Linked DNA regions of Caenorhabditis elegans. The protein of the gene in region 1 interacts with the protein of each later gene in a pairwise test. Each region holds a gene or a part of one and is shown on either strand. Other genes may lie near its edges.

What was found. The genes of interacting proteins can lie anywhere in the genome.
Region 2: the proteins of idpb-4 (region 1) and F08G2.5 interact in a two-hybrid assay, tested with the Caenorhabditis elegans proteins (one large-scale study listed by BioGRID).

The regions. Positions count from the first base shown.
Region 1 is NC_003280.10:8,735,242-8,740,079, reverse strand, and holds idpb-4 (Intrinsically Disordered Protein, class B), read left to right. Parts: upstream 1-2,523; 5' UTR 2,524-2,556; coding exon 2,557-2,616; intron 2,617-2,670; coding exon 2,671-2,879; intron 2,880-3,020; coding exon 3,021-3,246; 3' UTR 3,247-3,354; downstream 3,355-4,838.
Region 2 is NC_003280.10:13,831,753-13,836,562, forward strand, and holds F08G2.5 (WW domain-containing protein), read right to left. Parts: upstream 1,880-4,810; coding exon 1,343-1,879; downstream 1-1,342. Other genes in the region: ins-37 (INSulin related), read right to left, coding at 3,360-3,697, 3,750-3,909; F08G2.7 (uncharacterized protein), read right to left, coding at 4,647-4,715, 4,773-4,810.

The DNA of each region.
Region 1 (4,838 bases):
CCAGTTAAAACACTAAACATTGCTCTCTAATTATCTCTACAGTGATCCAAATAATTTTTAACCGGTATTTCAGATGTATAACTTTCAGATCAACAACATTTTCATTCAACCTTTACTCTACTGATAAGATATTTTTCAAAAAACACAGTATACATTTGGTTTGTCGTCTCTCAATCCAATTGTGGACAAAAAAAAGCAAGGGAAGAAAGAATTGGTTTCAATGAAACGGACAACTAGTTTTGCTTTTTATACGATGTTGGTTAATAGATCATCAGCGTACATTTTCTTTCCCATGTCTCTATCGCTGAAGAAAAATATATTTCCTGTTTACAAAAATATATTTCAAACCAATATTGCAAACCAAATTTTGGGCGAGGTTTATTTTGAGCAATTTTGTGATCAAATACAAAATAATGTGCCAAATGAACTGAAATATCCTCATCCTTAATATTAAAATTTATTTGCTTTTTGAACCAATTTTCTAGTAAAATTCTACGTTCGTCAAAGAAAATATGAAACGTAAAGCACAAAGAACACTTGGCACATTTCGGACGTCAGCGGAAGTTTGCTCAAGGCACTGTTTTTTGTCAAGTCATGGATTTACAAAAAACAATGGCGGGAACGCGAACAGGAATGTCTTTGAAATACATGTTTAGTGTGGGAAAAAGTGAAGAGTGTGTCACAGGAAGAATTTTTGAATTTCGGGGAATATTTTCATGATCACTATCAGTTTATTTGTCTAGTTAAGATAAAAGTTTAGGTTTCTCATTTAGTTCGAGTTCTTCACTAATGTTCTACTTCTAGTTGATCTGAATCAAATATTGTGTTCTTGAAAGTCACGAGTGTGCACATCGAACTCCCATTTTGATAACATTTATTTTATGGGAATCACGAATATTTTTGAACTTTTATAGCCCTGTTTATGAGATGATAATATTAAAGATTCAATCAAAAGTTTACATATCAACAACACTATATTCTAGCATAAGAAGAAGACATAAGAAGAGTTTCTCAAATAAAAATCATTTTCTTATCATATTTTATATCCAGTTTTTATGATATTTACAACGAGTTCATCAAATCAATGATTGCACCTATCAAATTTTTAAAAAAGAAAAAGAATAACATGTTTATGAATGTTGCAGATTTTCATTGTTAGAAAGACAATGAAAATTACAGTATCGGACTGATTTTAGAACATTTGATAAAAAGTATGTTCATTGTACATTGTACCGTGATGTACTTTTTCAGTCATTATGCTTCATTAGATTTAAAATGCCCCACGAGAATTGAATTTTCAGTCTTTGTAGCCCATTTTTAGTCTAATGGAAAAAGTCCCAAAACTTTGCTACTCCACCTTTAATTTTAAAAACAATTTTTCCGAATATTCTTTTTTGAAATCTTCCAGATTTGTAATATATTCCAACAATACAGTTACAACATAAACATAAACATTTTTTGCAAGAATCTCAGAGACATCAACCAACATCCCCATTTTACAAGTGTTGTTTTTCTTTTCTTATCACAACACATCTCACCAACGATCAATGTCAATTTAACAAACCAATAGTAGTATTACATAGTGATAAGCGATTTTCGATGACCCAGCTCTATCATTTTGCTGTGTTTTGTTTTGTTTACTGATCGGCTGCTGATCAAAGGGCTTGAATATTCCGAAATGATCAACTGTCAACAAGATACGCAAACATAATTGTCTGAGAGCTTCTACTACATTCAAGTCAGGGCGTATCCTAGAAAAAACATAGAAGACTGGCATTGTGACGTCCCGGTCCTCAATCGGAATGTATCAATTATGAGACATCATCATCATTGCCAATTAAGTATGTCGGAGTTGGCATACATTTTATGTTGGCATACATTTTTACGTATCATCTCCATTTCACTATCACTGGCACTTCATTCATTTTTTTGTGTCTTCTGTCTCCTTGTCATATATCCATTCCAAAAACAAAAGTGTGACCTCCGGCGAGTCACCAAATGTGCAAAAAATGTACCTGTGGGCGGTAAATATGATAAAAATAGATGAGTACTTGACGGAAACAAACGAGTAAAGGTGCGAAGACACAAGTAGTTGATGAATGAAAACACAGTTTTTTTTGCACGGAAACAAGAGCTATCTTTGAGTGATTTGATCAGCTAACTATTGTACAAAGTGATTTCATTTTTTTGTAAGTCTGCGATTTGAGGTTGAGATGGGGTATCTTTTTAGACTAAAATGGAAGAAAGAAGCCGAACATCAGTTTAAAAAGAGAAAGATGGAAGCAATAGTTGTTGATGTTCCTACCTAAGAAAGTTCATTTCAAATAAACTAAATTCCAGTCAAGATCCAAGTGATCAACCATCACCAGTGGGTAGCAAAGTTGAGCAACATGCAAATTGTTTGAATTGATCGAGACATTTTGACAGTTTTCCGCGAGTGATTACGATTACGCAACATGTTGGCCAATATCCCTTCCGGAATGGCAATGAAGCCTGTATAAAAGTGAGGAAGAACTTTGGAAACTCACATCATTCTCATTAACTCCTAATCTTATAATGACTACTTCCACTCTTGCGATTCTCCTTGCCATCGGAACTTTTATTGCGGTTTCTCAAGTGAGAATTATTTTTCAATTACTTAATATCTTCTCAATTTTTCAATATTTCCAGGTTCAATCTGCGGTTCTTCCAGTATCATCGACTGAGTTGGCAACTGTTGGAACTGATGTTTCAACAGCTTCAACTGCCATCGACACTCTAGGAAATTCTAGCTCAAGAGTGAAAAGACAAGGAGGATGTGGGTGCTGCGGTTGTGGATGTGGATGTTGTGGATGCGGAGGAGGAGGTGGTGGATGTGGATGCTGCTGTTGTAGACCAAGGTACCCAGTTTTGGAAATACTTGAAGCTATAAAAAATTTTACCAGATTGAGCATATCATGGAATTTTTAAAAATGGAAATTCAATTTTATTATATAGTTTAATTTTATTAATATATAGTAAGCTTTAACTGAAACTTCTAGATGCTGCTGCTGCTGTCGCCGTTGCTGTACCTGCTGTAGAACTTGCTGCTGCACCAGATGCTGCACTTGCTGTCGTCCATGCTGTTGTGGATGTGGATGTGGATGTGGATGCTGTGGATGCGGAGGAGGAGGACGTAAGCGTCGTTCCCTCCAAAACCTCAGAATCGATGATGCTAACCGTGCTCTCGGAATCAAGAGAAAGTCCTCAAAGGCTGACAGATGTTAAATTCAGTTGATTCTTATTTATTTTTGGCACCCAGCTACTTAACTTATTACTAAAATTAGTAATATTTATCCCAATAATAATAATAATAATAAATTTGTGTTGTCCTTAGCTTTTACGGAATAATGGCAGGTGCAAATGGTTATGTTGACACCTTGGCGGCGCCAAATGCAAACACCCAATCAAAGCATTCTCCGAGAATCTAATTTAAACGTTACTTTTTTCGTTGGGTGGTTTTTTTACATTTCAGTTGCGAGGAAAATTTTTAAAAGAATTTTTAAGTCTTAAAAAAATATGATTGAATTTGCAATTCGCGTTTTGTAATTTTGGTATTGAAAAAAAACGCGGTTGTGCTGTGGGGGTAAACAAAACTGATGAAATTCCGAATTAAAGGCAAAAAATACGCAAAAAGGATTTCACTCTCAAATTAGGGTCTCCAGAAGTCGGTACCATTTGTTTATTTTTTGGACCTCTTTTCATGTTCTCGAGGGCATTCTAATTGGATTCACTGACTCTTGGCATCACTGGGGTCCTTCAAAAAGACCTCCTCTTCATTTTTTTTTTGTTTCTTCCCATTTTCTCAATGCTCACAGCAAAAATACACAAACACACACATGAGAGCAATATGAAATTTCATTATTATTCGATTTCCTAGATCTCTTTTTTGCGACTTTTCGTGTCTCTTTGACTCTTTTTTGTTTTATGTTTTTCATACTTAAAATAAAAAGATAGGAAACCAAAAGTATTATCTGATTCAGTTTTTTCAAAAGTAATTAAAACCATGTTGTTTCCAAATTTTGTAGTTTTGGGCCTCCGGACTAGATACTTTAAGGTGCCTTAACCCTCGTGGTACCGTTGTCTTTATTTTTCAACTTAGTAAAATCATGAAGAAATTGCAAAAAAATATCCGGAAAGTACACTTTTTTTTACTAGAGAAAGCCAAAACATGTTTGAATTCATTTTTTTTTGTTATCGGTCATTTTAAGCTTAATTTTAAAAGATCTAAATAAGTGGTTGAAATCGCAGTTGTGATTAATGACAAGGAAATTGAAGTAAAATAGGAAATAACCTGAATATTTCAAAAACAAGCCCTGCCCACATCTCGGATTAAAATCGTTATTGGAAAAGGTTCTATAAGTTTAGAATCATTGATTCATGTTTCTTGACTCTAAAAAGTATAAAAGAGATCATTTTCGGTTGAGTGAACTTGTCTTGATTCCAACATTTTGCTTCTTTAGTTTATTCTTCTTTTCTCACTCTTTTTACTCGTTTTGCACTTTATAGTTTTTATAGTTCTTTTTCAATATCTCTTTCCCTCCAGTCTCCGCACTTCTCTTTTGCATTGAATTTTATGAGCAGGTTGATGGTGTCGACTCGAAAAGGTTCCAGAGGTTCTAGTTTCAAGCCAAGAGAGGGCAGGCACCAACTGAATTCGTATTCAAAGCAGGAGAAGCTCATGTACGTGTTCCATCTTCTTTTTTTCTCGCTTTCCGTTCATCTTTCCTCCTCTTATTCATCTTCTCGTTTGGGATAACAACAACAAACACAACATTGACGCTTTCCGATTCCCGAGGGCACCACCACGGCGACATAAG
Region 2 (4,810 bases), 5.1 Mb from region 1:
ATTTTTTTCCCGTTTTTTTTTCTTACTTTTTAAAAAAGGTGTAGGAACATTTACAGGATGCGTAAAATTTTGCCGGCTGAAATTGAAGTTCTGAAATTTAAAAAAATGTGCAAAACCACAAATTGCCGAAAATTTTCGACAATTTCCGTTTTTCCGGCAAATCGGCAATTTGCCGGTTTACCGACTTGCCAGAAATTTCAATTCCGGCAATTTGCTGATTCATCAGAAATTTCAATTCCGGCAACTTGCCTATTTTCCGGAAATTTCAATTCCGGCAATTTGCTGATTTATCAGAAATTTCAATTCCGGCAACTTGCCTATTTTCCGGAAATTTCAATTCTGGCAATTCGCTGATTTTCCGGAAATTTCAATTCCGGCAATTTGCTGATTTATCGGAAATTTCAATTCCGGCAATTTGCTGATTTATCAGTAACTTCAATTCCGGCAACTTGCCTATTTTCCGGAAATTTCAATTCCGGCAATTTGGCGAACTACCAGAAACTTTCAATTTTGCCGGTTTACCGATTTTCCGGAAATTTCAATTCCGGCAATTTGCTGATTTATCGGAAACTTCAATTCCGGCAATTTGGCGATTTGCCAGAAATTTTCAATTTTGCCGGTTCACCGATTTTCCGGAAACTTCAATTCCGGCAATTTGGCGATTTGTCAGAAATTTTCAATTTTGCCGGTTTACCGATTTTCCGGAAACTTCAATTCCGGCAATTTGCTGATTTATCGGAAATTTCAATTCCGGCAATTTGGCGATTTGCCAGAAATTTTCAATTTTGCCGGTTCACCGATTTTCCGGAAATTTCAATTCCGGCAATTTGGCGATTTGTCAGAAATTTTCAATTTTGCCGGTTCACCGATTTTCCGGAAATTTCAATTCCGGCAATTTTCTGATTAGTCGGAAATTTCAATCCTCCGGCAATTTTGCCGATTTGCCAGAAATTTCAATTCAGGCAATTTTCCAATTTGTCGGAAGTTTCAATTCCCGCAATTTTCCGATTTGCCGGAAATTTTAATTCCGGCAACAGTTTTATATGACCTCTTTCTTATTATTTGGTTTTTTAATTTAATAATAAAGAACAAAACACAAATTCGAAAAATACAAATTATTTATTTTTACACAACAATAAATAGACAACACACTTAAATGGTCATATCCCGGTTGTTTTAAGATTTATCGAAAAACTACCAACAAACAAAATATTGCTGATGCCTTTTTCAATAATTTTGTAGTTGAACACTTTTCGATATCACTTATTTAAACCAAGATATAGGATACCAAAAATGAAATAGAATACAATTAAACTAAAAACAAATATTTACATTTAAAAATTCAAGCTCCATTCGAATAAGTTTCTCTCGGCGAGTTCTCACAATCATAGATCCCGCGACGACGATTGCGGTATGGTTCCCACGTTCCATTTCTTCCATACGGATGCCATCGTCTCCCATGACGCTGCTCCCACTCGGCAAGCCCATCTCGACAACGGCATGGCGAGGAGTCACTGGAATTGGTTGATGATTTAGAACTCACCGAGTCATCGGAAGAAGAGGACGAGGAAGAATCATCAGAGTCATCAGAAGAGTCGTCAGACGAAGTGTTCGGAGGTTTCACCGACTTTCTCTTCGATCTCTGTTTACGAGCTCGTCGAGCTCGTGGAGCTGGAGATTCAGAGATCGGAAGTTCCGAAGAACGTGGATATTGACACCCTTGGGTGTCTCTACGATCTTGAGAAGTTAACGTGGAAACCGTGGAGTCGGAATATCTATCTTCATCGTCCTTATCTGAAAGTTCAGATTCTGAACTATCAGATGACGAGTCGAAGAATCCGTCTCCAAGAGGAAGTGGACGAGTGCTGAGCTTTCTCATTGTAAATGAGATGCTCTTCAAGGTGAGAGGTGCTGGTTTTATAGGTGGGTTTTGTTGACGAATAGTTTCGAATTATTTCGAAGAGTTTCGAAATTAGTCATGACTTTGATAAGGTGGGCAAATATTGATGACGATATGTGTGTAGTATTGCCAAATTTGAGGAGAACTCCTTGCCGTTTGATCTCCGAAAATTGGGGTCACACAGAACATTTCTGGAAGTACATAGAAGTCTATGTTTCCCGCAATTTTCAGAGGTCAAAAAGTAAGGAATTTGCAAATTTTTTTGCAAATTTTTTTTCCGGCAAATCGGAAAATTGCCGGAATTGAAAATTTCCGGCAAATCGGCAAATTGCGGAATTGAAATTTTCCGGCAAACTTGAAAGTTACCGGAATTGGACATTTTCGGCATACCGGCAAAGTGACAAAATTTAAAATTTCCGACAAATCATCAAATTGCCGGAATTGGAGTTGTGGCATACCGGCAAATTGACGGAATTGAAATTTCCGGTAAATCGTAAAATTGCCGGAATTGAAATTTCCGGCAAAACTGGGGCAATTACATAACTCTAGAAGGAGAACATTTTTGAATTCATAGCTCTTATATCTCTATAGTAAAATTTATGCTATAAATTTATATAAAAAACGTCCTAAAATTGTATTTTGCGCAGCAGGACCCATCTTTGTCGTGCTTTAAAGTTTCAAAAATAGAAACTCATTATTGACACACGAATTTATTTTTAAAAAAATACAAATAATAATAAATTTTATATTTAATTTGCATACTACAAAAACAAGTAATTTTTATCAAAAATTGCAAAATTCCGGTAGTCAAGTTAGTTCGTATGGGGTGGTTGAGAATTGATAACCCATACGATCCGGACCGCAGGAATTCGAAAACTGTTGGGGAGGAGGAAGTATATATACTAGAGGCAATGCAAGCGGTGGACGTTTCTCGAGGAATGGTGGTGGGTTTCTCTGGGTCTCTAGTAGTGTACAAAATGCGCTCCACCGCAATTCGATAATTAGGAGACTGTGTCAAACAACTTTATGTAAGGTGTAATTTTTTGGGTAAAAAATTGACTAATGATTTGAAAAAATCTATTTTAAAAAATCTGCATTTCAAGCCTATATATACGAAATCTTATTTTGTTTCTGTAATTTTTATTATTTTTCGAATTTAATTGAAAAATGCCTAACTAAAATTAAACGTTTCTTTCTAATCAACTTGCCCACCAAATTCCAACAATGCAAAACAGGAAGTCAAGTTGTTGCCGATGGGGTGGTTTCTTCAGATAACCCACCGACTCCGGACCTATGCCTGATAAAAAACCTTCTATCAACAGAGTATATATACCAACGGTCTGTTAAGTGGACGACGGTGTGTTGATAAGTGGCGTTTCAATGGAGCGCACTTGCAATAGTTGTGAAATCAGTTAAAATTTTGCGCTAGTAATTCAAATCCACATATATTATACATACATTACTTTATTTTTACACAATTAATACAGGCATAGTTTTGCACTCGATTGAACTTGTCCGGGATTCTTCTAGGCCGCCGCCGGCGCCACCCCCTTGTTCGGGCACATTGCTTCAATGATATTTTCGTCGGTACATTGACTGTCTTCACAACAATATCATGTCCACAGCTCTTTTTAAAACCCTCCGCCGCAAAGCTGACCATATCGATTTCTTCGGCTTCCTCCTCAAACTTTACTCCATATCCTTGCGAAGCGTACTTGCACAGAGACTCCTTGATGTCCAGATCGGTACACTCGTCCTTGCAGCACATCTTCCAAAGATCCACATCACTGCTGCGATCTGAAAAGCGATGATTCGGTTTTAACCTGCTAAGAATGATATAATAACATACCTTTCTTCCCACTGCAAGCTTCAAAAGCGCGATGAACAAGATGGGATCCACAGGAACGATAGGGAAGGAAGGCCGCATTTGGGACCGGGTGAATTGGATTGGCATTGGTGAGCACGGTGAGCATAGCAATGCTCAAGGCAATTGGCAGGAAAGCAGCCATGGTGTTCAATCGTCTATCCGGTTCGGGATGAGAGTTGAGGTATGATTCTTATTTTGTTTTCGATTTTGAGTGGGGGGGGGGGAGGGAAATGCTTACAATTATGACCTATGGGTCACGTCTTTTACGTGGAGTGTCAATTTGGGAATAAGTTGAGTGACTTTTCTTATAGTTTTTAAAGGCCAAGTTAAAATTGAATGTCTATTTAACAACTATACTTTATTTTTTGAAAATTGATTTTTCACTATTCTGCAAGCTTATTTTGTCCCCTCGGGGACTGGGCCGAGCCCGGCAGCAGTGCAACGCCAGGACGACCCTTGGGAAGTCGGAGCAAGCCCCGAGTCTTCCCTAGGTTCCAAAAATCATATAACCTTTATTACACTCATTCGAGTGTATACCGTAGGTTAATACGATAAGAACAGATACTACACTTTGATCTTAGCTAATAAGCCGAAGAAGCGATACTGAATGGAGGAGAGGGTAGGGGTAGTGGGGAGCTGTGTACCGACAACTCGTGGGTGCGCGTGGAGCACTCTTTGTTTCGTGGCCTAGAAAAGAAAGACAATTAGGTATGTCTTTGAATTAATTAAAAATCTTTATATAATAAATTAATTAAAATATGAAAAGTTCAAAGAAAAATCAATAAATTAAATATTAGAACTCGGTGAAGTGAATAATTTCGAAAGTCCATAGGATTTTTACACGTGTAATCGGGGGGAGAAACTGTTGGGGAAACGTTATTAATTAGCTGCAACTTTTTCGGGCTCTTTGGCGTCGTCTGGAGTCGTGCTGAAGCCGGAGTCCTTGCCCTGAAAGTAATTATAATTGTTTCAAGCGGAAAATTTTAAATTTCCACCAAAACTCACCTCTTCAAGAGTTGTCAAATTGGATTTACTCAGGAAAT